Neodiprion lecontei: one gene and its partner. The protein of the gene in region 2 binds, or shares a complex with, the protein of the main gene of each other region. Links are inferred from orthologs where the notes say so. Each region holds a gene or a part of one and is shown on either strand. Other genes may lie near its edges. The genes, in order: sodium leak channel non-selective protein and protein unc-80 homolog.

Region 1 (5,123 bases), on a different chromosome or scaffold from region 2:
ATTTGTTGAAATTGGACCCGAATTTCATTGAACGTTTCAGTTATTACGGCTATGAAAACGTTTTTCACAAGCCATGCTAGGAAAAAGATCATAGTGCTGAAGTAGAAGGCTGCTCTCCAACCTGGCAGACTATCAATAGCTCGGTACATGATGAAAACCCATCCTTCTTGAGACGCCGCTTGATAGACGGTGAAAATACTAGTCGCTAAAATAAGCAGATTCGATCATACCTAATTTTTGATAGTGACTTGTTAATTTTGATGAATGCATACTTTTATTTCACACTCACCGAACTCGTCAAATCCATTGAAACCCATAATATACCTGGATAGTTCTAATTTCATACACTTCATACCCTCAGGACACTGATACCCAGATTCTGGATCCGTAGAACAAAAAGTGTCTGGAATTGCTAAGCTATTTATCGTAATATGATTTGAGTCTGTTGTGTTCAGAACACAGTGATTTTTTAGCTCCCCAAAAAATTGTACTCCCAGTAATCCGTAAAGAGACATAAAGAAAAGGAAGAACAACGTTACATTGTAAATTTGTTGGCTTGATCGTCTGAAAATGAATATTCCATGTATAAGTATATCACATGTGACAAAGTATCAAAAATCTATATATTTATCGGTATGTTATTTTCTCTGTACTAGAAAATCTAAGTCATTGAACTCCACTACATTCTCACATGAAACTATAGTGATATGTTATAATTACATGATTATATCTATAATACGTTCTTACTTGAAAATTTGATTTATTCTTGATTTTGGCATAGAGAACTTGAGGAAGACACGAAGAAAGCGAATCATAATCAGCGGCCTCGGTGCTCTCAAGATGGATGCATAACTGAATCGCAAGACAAGACCTAGCATCTCAAACATTTGCAGGATGACAGAGAGCCATAAAAAGAATACCATACTCGCATCGAACTGGCACCAATGATCTTTCAAGTAAGGCACTTCACCCTGAAATGAACTAGACTGAGAACATATTCTGCTATTGCAACTATGGAACGTCTGAAATCACCAAGTTTTCTAATGCTAACTGAAGCTATTTATTTCGAGGTATAGCTCTGAAAAATATGCAGTACATACTTTTTTACCAGCATCAATACTTTGTTAGAACTACTTTTCAGATCAATAATCATTCAAACATTACAAGCGATGCATTCTATTGAAATTGTGTTGTCAGTTAGCCAACAAAAGTAAATCTTTTAACATATTTTTGAACAATAAAGAAAATTGCAGAGTTTTATAGTTTTTGATAATTTAACATATATCGTGGAGATTGACTTTCATTATTAAGCTATTTCAAGACTAAAAGCTGGCAGCATAACTATATTGCTTGGCTGAACATAACGAGGTTTTTTTACGAATTAGTGCATAAGATATATTTAATAACTTTTTTTTATCAACAACAGGGAAGCACAAAACGACACATATTAGTAATAAAAATAGTTCTCACAGTTGTTCTGACCTTCAGTATGCCACGAATGTGCATCTTGGCAATCATCTCGGCAGTGAATAGAAATGTGACAACCAAATCGCACACAAAGGTGACATACTGCAGTGGAGGTACCCTCTCGAAAGTTTTTGGTGTGTTAAGGCAGACAGAGGCTAGCGATACTAGAGCGCAAAGCCTCATCAGCCTGCGAACCCATAGCTACAAAGCAAAATAAGGAACATTGTCACTTTAATTCCATCATTCTTTTATACTTTCTCATATATTGTTCTCACTTTGTTGACCCATTCGATATCTGCACTTTCGTTCAGACACTCTTCTGGACCGTAATCTGCCAGAACAGGCTCTCCTTTGAGGCTCTGCTTCCTCCCCAACATCATAATAGGTATTATATTCGCAATGGTGAAGCCTAAAAAACAAATGTTTAAATTATTTGGATGCATTACAACGCCACCATAACTTGATAAACAACATTCAACACTCTGCCCATTTATTATTAGGTGCATGGATGTTAGTAGATCAGACAATCAGTCTCTGATACTTGACACGTTACTAGTGGACACTTAATCACATAAAAAATGATGATTGATCTATGGCCAATAGGTTGAAGAATGATTTGGAATTTAACTATTAGTTAAAATAACGACATTCAGGTACAGTCAGAATTATTTCTCAAATGGAGTATCGATCAGTTTGTAATCTAATGACGAATGAATGTGTGTCGACATATATTATTAAGGTAAAACGTAAATAGACACATACACAAGCATATTAACATCCAGCTTTCAAACACAATGATTTAACTCCCATACTCACGTGACGTTCTAATTTCACCGCTATTATGTATTGTCAAAACACTAGCTGAAAATTATTTTGAAAACATAAGCGGTCTGACATATTTCTTTCTAATATCTAGCTCTGCTTAATCTACACATTTAGAACGAGTTTGATAGTATAAAATGTGTAGATATGAAACATTTTTCAATGAAATTGAATGGTCAATATGCTTCTTATACGGTAAACGAGAGATAAGTTGATCTTGTTAAGGAGGATTTTTACTATTTTTTGCAATACGATTATATAGAATATTTTAATAAAGCTCAAATACAGTTCAATAAATCATTTCGAACTGGGTGCAACTGTTGATCAAGATCATTAGTTGCGTCTCGTTAAGTGATGAAAGTGACAGTTGGTAATTTCAGTAGATTTGAAATAATTGTAGTTTTTTTTACCAAGATAGAAGGAAGTGAACAAATTGTGAATATTAAAAAATTGTACACAGTTTTGGGTATAAAAAGATAATTATGGGGTATAAGAATGCATTTGTTCTTTCACAACTCGTTCAATATAATCAAAGTCTTACCGTTCTTGTAACAATTTGGTCAACCAATAAACTCTGCCTTCACGGCAATTCGTATAAACTACATTTTGTATAAAATAACAACAAAACTCAACGATTAATAAACATTTTAATAATAACAAGGTAGTGGCATGGTGATCATTTTGTAGGGCAGGTACAGCCAGCTGGGATGCTGGGCATGAGCAGTCAGCACCAATTTGAAAATCAATATTAGAAACGCTAAGTTGCAGTTTATACGCGATTTCTCTTTACTGAAGAAATTTGTTGAGACATGCAACATTAGGTGACGAATTGTAATATGAACTTGATTGTACGTAGCTACAGTAACTGTTATATTGATTTGTTTCATTTACATACTTGAAACATAACATATAATACTTACAGATATGAAAAAAGTAGACCAAATACGGAAACAATAAAAGAAGACACAAATTTGGAATTTAGTATGAAAAAATTAAGAAACTTTGATTTATCTTAACTTACTTATTTAAGGATAATATAAAACAATAAAATACAATTAGAAATTACTAAACCGGTAATGCTGGAATCGTTGAAAATGATTAAATCATTTTGAACACGTATTTTTTTATCGTAGTATTTCTGCTCAATTGTTCATTTCTATAATACTAATTGTACAACATTTGTAAATAGTTATGCAACTGAGAATATATTTCCCTGCCACGAGTGGTAAATAGAGTAGTAATTCTTGAATCTTTGGTGGTTGAAGTTTGTTCTCATTTCAAGCATGTTTCAACGGGTTCAGATACAATTCGATTACTAGACATAACTTGGAAATTTATGCTGTATGTGGATGTAATCGTCTCTAATACTGCCATAAGCTATTGCAAAAAAAAAATAGCTCTTCATTTGTTTTCTACTGTATTAGCACCTGCTATCATTTTAGAAAATTCAGAATTTGGGTCTTTAAGAAGATTATACGGCTTATCAAATTCTAATATTTTGCCGCTGTTCATAACGAGGACTCGGTCAAGGAACAAAACAGTTTGTAGCCTGTGTGCTATGATCAGTATCGTGCAGAAAGAAAACTCCTGTTGAATTGTAGTCTGAACAGCAATCTCAGTTTCTGGATCTACAGCGGCAGTTGCTTCATCCATAACAAGTATCTAAAATAAATGGTATATCTTCAGTTTTAAAGTACTAACACATCGATGCACAAAGATGTTGAATTTTCTTGTATATGCAGTTAAGTAACAAACCTTAGACTCCCTGAGCAATGCTCTTGATAAACAAAGCAGCTGCCTTTCACCCACGCTTAAATTGTCTCCTCCATACCCAACAGATGCGTCAAGATGACCATTGATCGATTGTACTCTATTCTTCAGTTTGGTTTTTTCAAGCGCTAGCCATATTTCTGAATCTGTGTAACGTTTGAATGGATCCAGATTCGATCTGAAAGTTTAAGTCCAGTGCATCATAGAAGCAAGTTGAGTAGGTTTCGTTGACGTAAACATTAGTACAATGTTCCAAGCCCTACACTCTCATAATAATAGAACACGCACTCGTACCTTATTTACAAACTGAGAGAGATAGCTGAAAACTGATGTCGAAATGTCTGCCTATAATACTCGCGGTATACATGTATGATGCTCTCTTTTTCTGTGCGCTTTACTACACAACAACGAGTTGCATGTATTTTGAATCGCAACGAACACATACCTTATACTTCCGTTAAACAGTATTGGGTCCTGTGGGATGATCGAAAGTTTTGTTCTTAAGTGACCGAGGTTTATTTCTGATATATCAACATTGTCTATTTCTATTTTTCCCTCCGTCAACTCGACTAGCCTGAATAAGGCTGCTGTAAGGGAACTCTTCCCTGATCCTGTCCTCCCGACAATGCCTATAATTCCAAAGTGGCAAATTTTGAAAAATAATTACTTACAGATTGGGTTTGAGCTCATAAATTGACTTGGTTCCGACAAATAGGCAAATCTCCCCTCATGCATAACATCAATTAAAATTGATTTACACCCCCAAAATAATGTTCCACACATTCAATTTTGCAATGAAAATTATTAAAAGTAGCAAGAAGGTCTCAAAAGTTGGAACTGACTTCTAAAGCGTGGTATTCGCGTGATGTGTGTCGTTATTCAATGTTCGGAGCTTGGTAATTAGTATCGAAATCTAGATTTCGTACATTAGCATACAGTTTCAAACATTACTTTAAATCGAAAGTACTTAAGTATATACTTCTTCAAATGTTATTCATAAACACCTGTTAGCTTTCTTTTAAGGGTGTTGAAAAAATTTGTCACAAAGGCAAGTATCAAAATAA
Region 2 (5,036 bases):
AATATTTCAAGGTTTTATTCAGACTGTTGATTTAGTTTCAATGAAGCTGTTCATGAAACTGGGGGGGAGGGGGGGGGGGGGTGCAAGGATTCAACACGTATTAGATAATTTACTCATCACATGCACGTCTCAAAGGCTAACGGTAGAAATCCAGAAACTAAATTTTGAAAGGAGTCATAACGGTATGGTAAGCGGGTAAGTATTCACACGCCACAAAATGATAAAAAGCAGAGCAAAGCTAACTTACATGATGGCCGGGCGCACGTTGACAGAACTGCGGACAGGTGACGATTGGAGGTGGCCACATGGTGGAGAGGGTAGTTTTTTGTTAGTGCAAGTCAGGCACAGGGTAAAACGTAGGTGTACAGGTGTCAGCCATGAGGGGTCAGCCATAGAATCACACAACACCATCAAATTGCTTAAACGATGCTTCCCAATTTGTATGGGATTTTTATCTTTACTTTTATCGCAGTGCAATTTAACTAGCTTGCCTTTCTGTTGCTCATTTTCTGCGTACATGGTCTATAAGTTATTGCTGAAACGTGTGTTGTGACAGGTGAAGGCTAAAAATTTTCATTAAAATTAACATAAGAAAAATAACATCGGAACAAAACGTATATAAAAGTTAATTTTAATCGAATTATAAGAATTTAATACAATAATCCGTTAAGAATTTTACCGTTTCAGATGTCGTGAAATGATTGCAAGTTTCAAAGATACAGTTCGGATCCAGTTTTTACTTCTAAAAAGTCCATCGATGACTGTATAATGAGGTGGGAGAAAATATTTAAAAAAAAAAATAACGATCGATAGCTATCTCTCAAATTATAATCGGCATTGTAGGAAATAAAATCACATTTTACGCAACGTTGGAAGTAAGCACACGTTACCAGCAATAATATCAAGTGCAAGCAATATGATGCTATCGTCTATAATTTATCAGCATTTTTTCAATTGTATGTATATACAAATAAGCGTGTGTCAGTATTTTTAGTCTGTTAACTTTATTTAACATTTTAACAAGAACATGTCGATTAGGGTTCGATCAAATGTTTACATTTTCGCTGAAATATACGTAGCGTGCATCTTACCATACATGATGCTTCATGGAGTTTTCCAAGCTTGGCTCGTATGAACGGACTAAGGAAGATCAAGTTTTAATACGACGATTTGTTGATGAAGATTCGAAATAAATATAAATTTTTTGAAACATTTAAACCGTTAAGAAAATATCATTCTCACCTTGTTTGTCTCCAGAGAAAGGTCTGTATTGGAATCGGCAAGGCTTGATCATGCAAGCTGTCATCGATGGACCGGCGTTTTTCCATGTTTGCCACTCGGAATTTATCTCATACTGTACTCTGGAATGTATTATAATTGATCACCAATCATCCCCACCGTAAACTCAATGAAAATAGTGGAAAGTACACTGCGCAATTGGATCAAAGATTGCTGTATTATGCGTATGAAATTATTTATACTATTAGAGTAACTTGTAACATATATTTCGATGCCATAACATGGTAAAATTTTTTTTGATTTATCGTTATTCAAATTTCGAATTTTCGTTGTTGAGGGCGATGTTTGTCTGACCATTGTCTCGAGTTCCTGACTTGTAAAACCGGTTCTATTGACGCTTCGCATAACGTGTGGATATATTTTGCCTTCTTAAGATGGCGTGATTGACACAAAAGTGAGAAATAGAAGTATTTTGCATGGATAATTCACGCGTCCGAATACCTCGTATTATTGTTCGTAATAGTATATATCCGGGGTTTCCCGAACTTTCATTACCCGACGAAAAGCATTTAGATTGACCATTGTCATCGCCGGTCTCGTTCGCCTATTTATAGAGTCATCTGATCCACCCACGGACTCCTGAAGCTTTTAGCCTTCATTAAGAGGAAATGCGTGTTGATTGGTCCCGAGTTCTAGCTTTGATGTTTAGTTTTCAATAAACCGAGCCATACCACTCAAGGCGAGTCGATGATTACACAGTCCCGATGTCGGATAGTGAATTTACTATCGATATAATTAATTAAGGGTCGCATCACTCGGTCAAAGTTTTATCAATAACAATAAATATCACGATACTCGGTGAAAATAATAATGCCTCCTGTCATGATTCCGTTGTACACACCTCAAGTCACCTAACTGCTCCTGATCCTCTTACCCTAAGCGGAGGCTGCAGCTGATAAGAATGGATTCGCCGCCAGGAACCAACCAAAATTTGCGTGACAGCTCTGCTCAGATATCGGATAATACGCATATAAACGCCCAGCTAAGCGTCAACATACCGATCTGTTTATAAATCCGAGTTACAAATCGCGTACGTACCATTATTCGAAACTGAACGACTGTACTAAATTCGGAGATAATCTTTCGTATTTTCTGACGGTTACCTTATAGCTGGAATTGTCGAGTCGATTAGGCAAATGACGGGGGCGAAGCGACGAGGAGCGACGAGTAAATAGAATCACCTTACGCAACGTGATATTCGTTGGACAATGATTATTGCGCATAACGCTTTGTTAGATCAAAAAGAATTAGATAACCGGAATTGGTTTGAAAATATTTTCGTCGATTTATGCTAGAGTCGAGTTGGGCACCGGCACGAATGCTGGAATTTCGAGGAAATTTAATTCATCGTTCAGAAAAGTCATTCATCGCGTAACACTGACCGGATCCGAAGCAATCACAGACGTTATTCAGCCACCTATGTGTGTGACACACATTTTCAGTAACTCGCAGATGATTTGCTGTATTTCGAATTCGGTGTAATAGTTCATGCGATTGGATATTGTTTAAAATAATAAATAACGATTGAATAAACGACCGCGGTTTTTTCCTCTTTCCCGCTAGTTCCAATCTATTCTTTTAGTTAATTGATAACGAAATTACGGTGGTGATTATGAACCTGCGTTAAAACGAGTAAACCGGATTTATCACTTATAAAGTCTGGGAAAAATATGTTTAAACAGTGATAAACGGAGGGTAATGTAAGACTCACGAGAGTGAATGGTTTAGGCATCTTCAAAGTTTGATTGCATTGAGATTCAGCGGCAGGTAGGAGCAACAGAAAATTTCTTAACTGAACGATAGCGCGAGGAGACGGAACAGAACGGAATGAAACGGTGCGAAGTGCTCAACGAGGAGGACAAGGACGATGACGAAGACGAGGATGAGAGGAATGTGCGCGCGACGCTATGGAAACTAGGACACCAACGCGCCGTCGCCCATCGATTTCTCCGGGATTCTGCCCGATGGACCACCACCCACCTTCTTCAACCCCGTCGAGACAGTGCAGGAATGATTTCTTCGATCAGTTGGCTAAGCATGTGCAGAGCAGATCACAAAAATGCTTAACAGTCTCCTTGGTACCTGTATGATGTCCCTGTAGGGATGAGGAAATTTTGCACTTCATCGTCGTTGTTGATACACTAACAAGGTGACGATTGTTTCGAATTCAATTTCATCCAACTATCGAAAGTCGTTTTTCTGCCGCACGAATGGCTTCTAACATTTGGAACATCCATTCTTGTATGTATCGCTAGAATATCTGAGATTTTATCGCCGCAACCTGGGTTCAATTGCTACCGAGGTGTAGAAGCAAGTGAGGGAAACAAAATTCATCGACAAGCACTTGCTGAGGTTCATTTCATGTGTGAGAACCCATCGACGGACATTGTTTCGCATGTATGGAATAACAATATTTTCATCCGATGACCTTAAAGTTTATATACGCACCTGCAATATACCTAATAATATGATCTAATAATCCTGATGTAGGGACTTGACAAATGGATTTATTTATACGATACGTTCGATCAACAGAGTTTACTGTACCCTGTATATGATACAGGATACTCGAATATTTTCAATCAGGGAAATTACGATGATGTGGTGGATTGGTTTGATTTGCCGATGGCGTGTTTAAGACTCCGACTCCAAAAGATAAAACTGACTCTCAAGTTAACAAATATGACCGTATGGTTATATTCGCGGGATTTCTTCGCACTTTTCACACTCATAAGAAGTTTCTCGACTGCAATTCGATTGCTGGTTCACAGGCGTTTCGGAATCGCTCAAAACCATGTCTATTTCGAAGCTTAGTTCATTTTCAGAAGTTTTCACTCTGCTTCTCTCGTCACACCGTAGCATCTGACTTGTAAGTACAGGGTTGATCTCGATGCACACTTCCGTGGAGGCTCCAGTTTCTCCTGAAATTCTTCTAGCCTCGTTACTAACAGCCTTGCAAATATCGGACCAAAGTTCCCTTTGGCTAGGGTGAAGAGTTCCTACGAGCTGTTGAAAATCCTCCCAGTCCATCTCGTCTTTGCTTTCGAGAATTTTTCTGTACATAGGCAGAGCTTTTGCTTCAAGATTCTCTTTGCCATCACTGCTGATTTCTCTTGATGATATTTCGTCGTATGCAATCTGTCGCTCGAACTTCTCCGATTCTCTGAGCTGCAAAACGCTTTCGAGCCTTCTGCTAAACGATGACCGTTGACGGATGTCAAGTTTCCGTTGATCCTCAACGCTGTATTCACTACCAGACGATGTTACTGTAATTGGGTTTTTGTAAGTCATTTGCAAGCTATTCTTTGGGAACTCGTCAAACGCTTTCGTCTGTTTCATACTGGTCACCGCTTTATCCTTGTTGTTCATCGAAGAAAAACTTCCCTTTGAAGTATAAAAATTCTTTTGCGAAGGTGACGCTCTTGATTCTTCTTTCAAAGGTTTCTCACAAGCGGTTACATTCTCAACAAGTTTTACATTGTTACGAATATTTTTATGTTCACAAGTGTCCGCTGTTTGCAGACGATCGTTATTGGCAATATCTCTGCAGCGTTTATCGCGTGCGATATTCAGTTTTCTACGTTCATCCAATACATTGATAGTATTTTCCGTGAACCCAGTCATCAACTTAAATTCATCGTCAGCCGGAAGCATTTCCTTGTAATCAGATGTTTTGCGTTGAGATTCTTTCATCTTGCTATCCAATGTTGATGCTGTACAACAATCTTTGTTGTTTC

The links.
Region 1: the proteins of protein unc-80 homolog (region 2) and sodium leak channel non-selective protein are in contact, whole or in part, in a cryo-EM structure (PDB 7SX3), measured with the Homo sapiens proteins. The link is inferred for Neodiprion lecontei from reciprocal best matches to the Homo sapiens genes UNC80 and NALCN. Residues at the interface, in NP_115893.1 of Homo sapiens: Lys1979, Asn2004, Glu2005, Cys2006, Asp2007, Leu2128, Arg2129, Leu2130, Pro2131, Pro2134, Arg2135, Ile2138, Asp2139, Phe2142, Phe2145, Ser2146, Glu2179, Asp2184, Glu2185, Met2187, Leu2188, Asn2191, Asn2194, Ile2198, Leu2199, Glu2202, Ser2226, Leu2227, Ser2228, Gln2231; in NP_001337678.1 of Homo sapiens: Asn639, Met643, Val644, Ile646, Lys648, Leu649, Pro650, Phe653, Val655, Pro656, Lys657, Ile658, Arg659, Glu660, Phe662, Met663, Lys664, Gln665, Phe666, Ile667, Arg669, Val711, Ser713, Arg715, Ala716, Arg717, Leu719, Lys722, Glu723, Ala725.

Annotation. Positions count from the first base shown.
Region 1 is NC_060261.1:28,730,996-28,736,118, forward strand, and holds the start of sodium leak channel non-selective protein, read right to left. Parts: upstream 3,268-5,123; 5' UTR 2,831-3,267; intron 2,329-2,830; 5' UTR 2,284-2,328; intron 1,877-2,283; 5' UTR 1,848-1,876; coding exon 1,743-1,847; intron 1,669-1,742; coding exon 1,483-1,668; coding exon of another isoform or gene 1,471-1,482; intron 987-1,470; coding exon 748-986; intron 565-747; coding exon 290-564; intron 206-289; coding exon 1-205. Other genes in the region: ATP-binding cassette sub-family C member 5, read right to left, coding at 3,691-3,951, 4,045-4,237, 4,505-4,688. UniProt on the Homo sapiens protein: Voltage-gated ion channel responsible for the resting Na(+) permeability that controls neuronal excitability. NALCN channel functions as a multi-protein complex, which consists at least of NALCN, NALF1, UNC79 and UNC80.
Region 2 is NC_060260.1:11,412,620-11,417,655, forward strand, and holds the start of protein unc-80 homolog, read right to left. Parts: upstream 3,134-5,036; 5' UTR 3,011-3,133; intron 1,362-3,010; 5' UTR 1,329-1,361; coding exon 1,243-1,328; intron 1,141-1,242; coding exon 1,092-1,140; intron 275-1,091; coding exon 248-274; intron 1-247. UniProt on the Homo sapiens protein: Auxiliary subunit of the NALCN sodium channel complex, a voltage-gated ion channel responsible for the resting Na(+) permeability that controls neuronal excitability.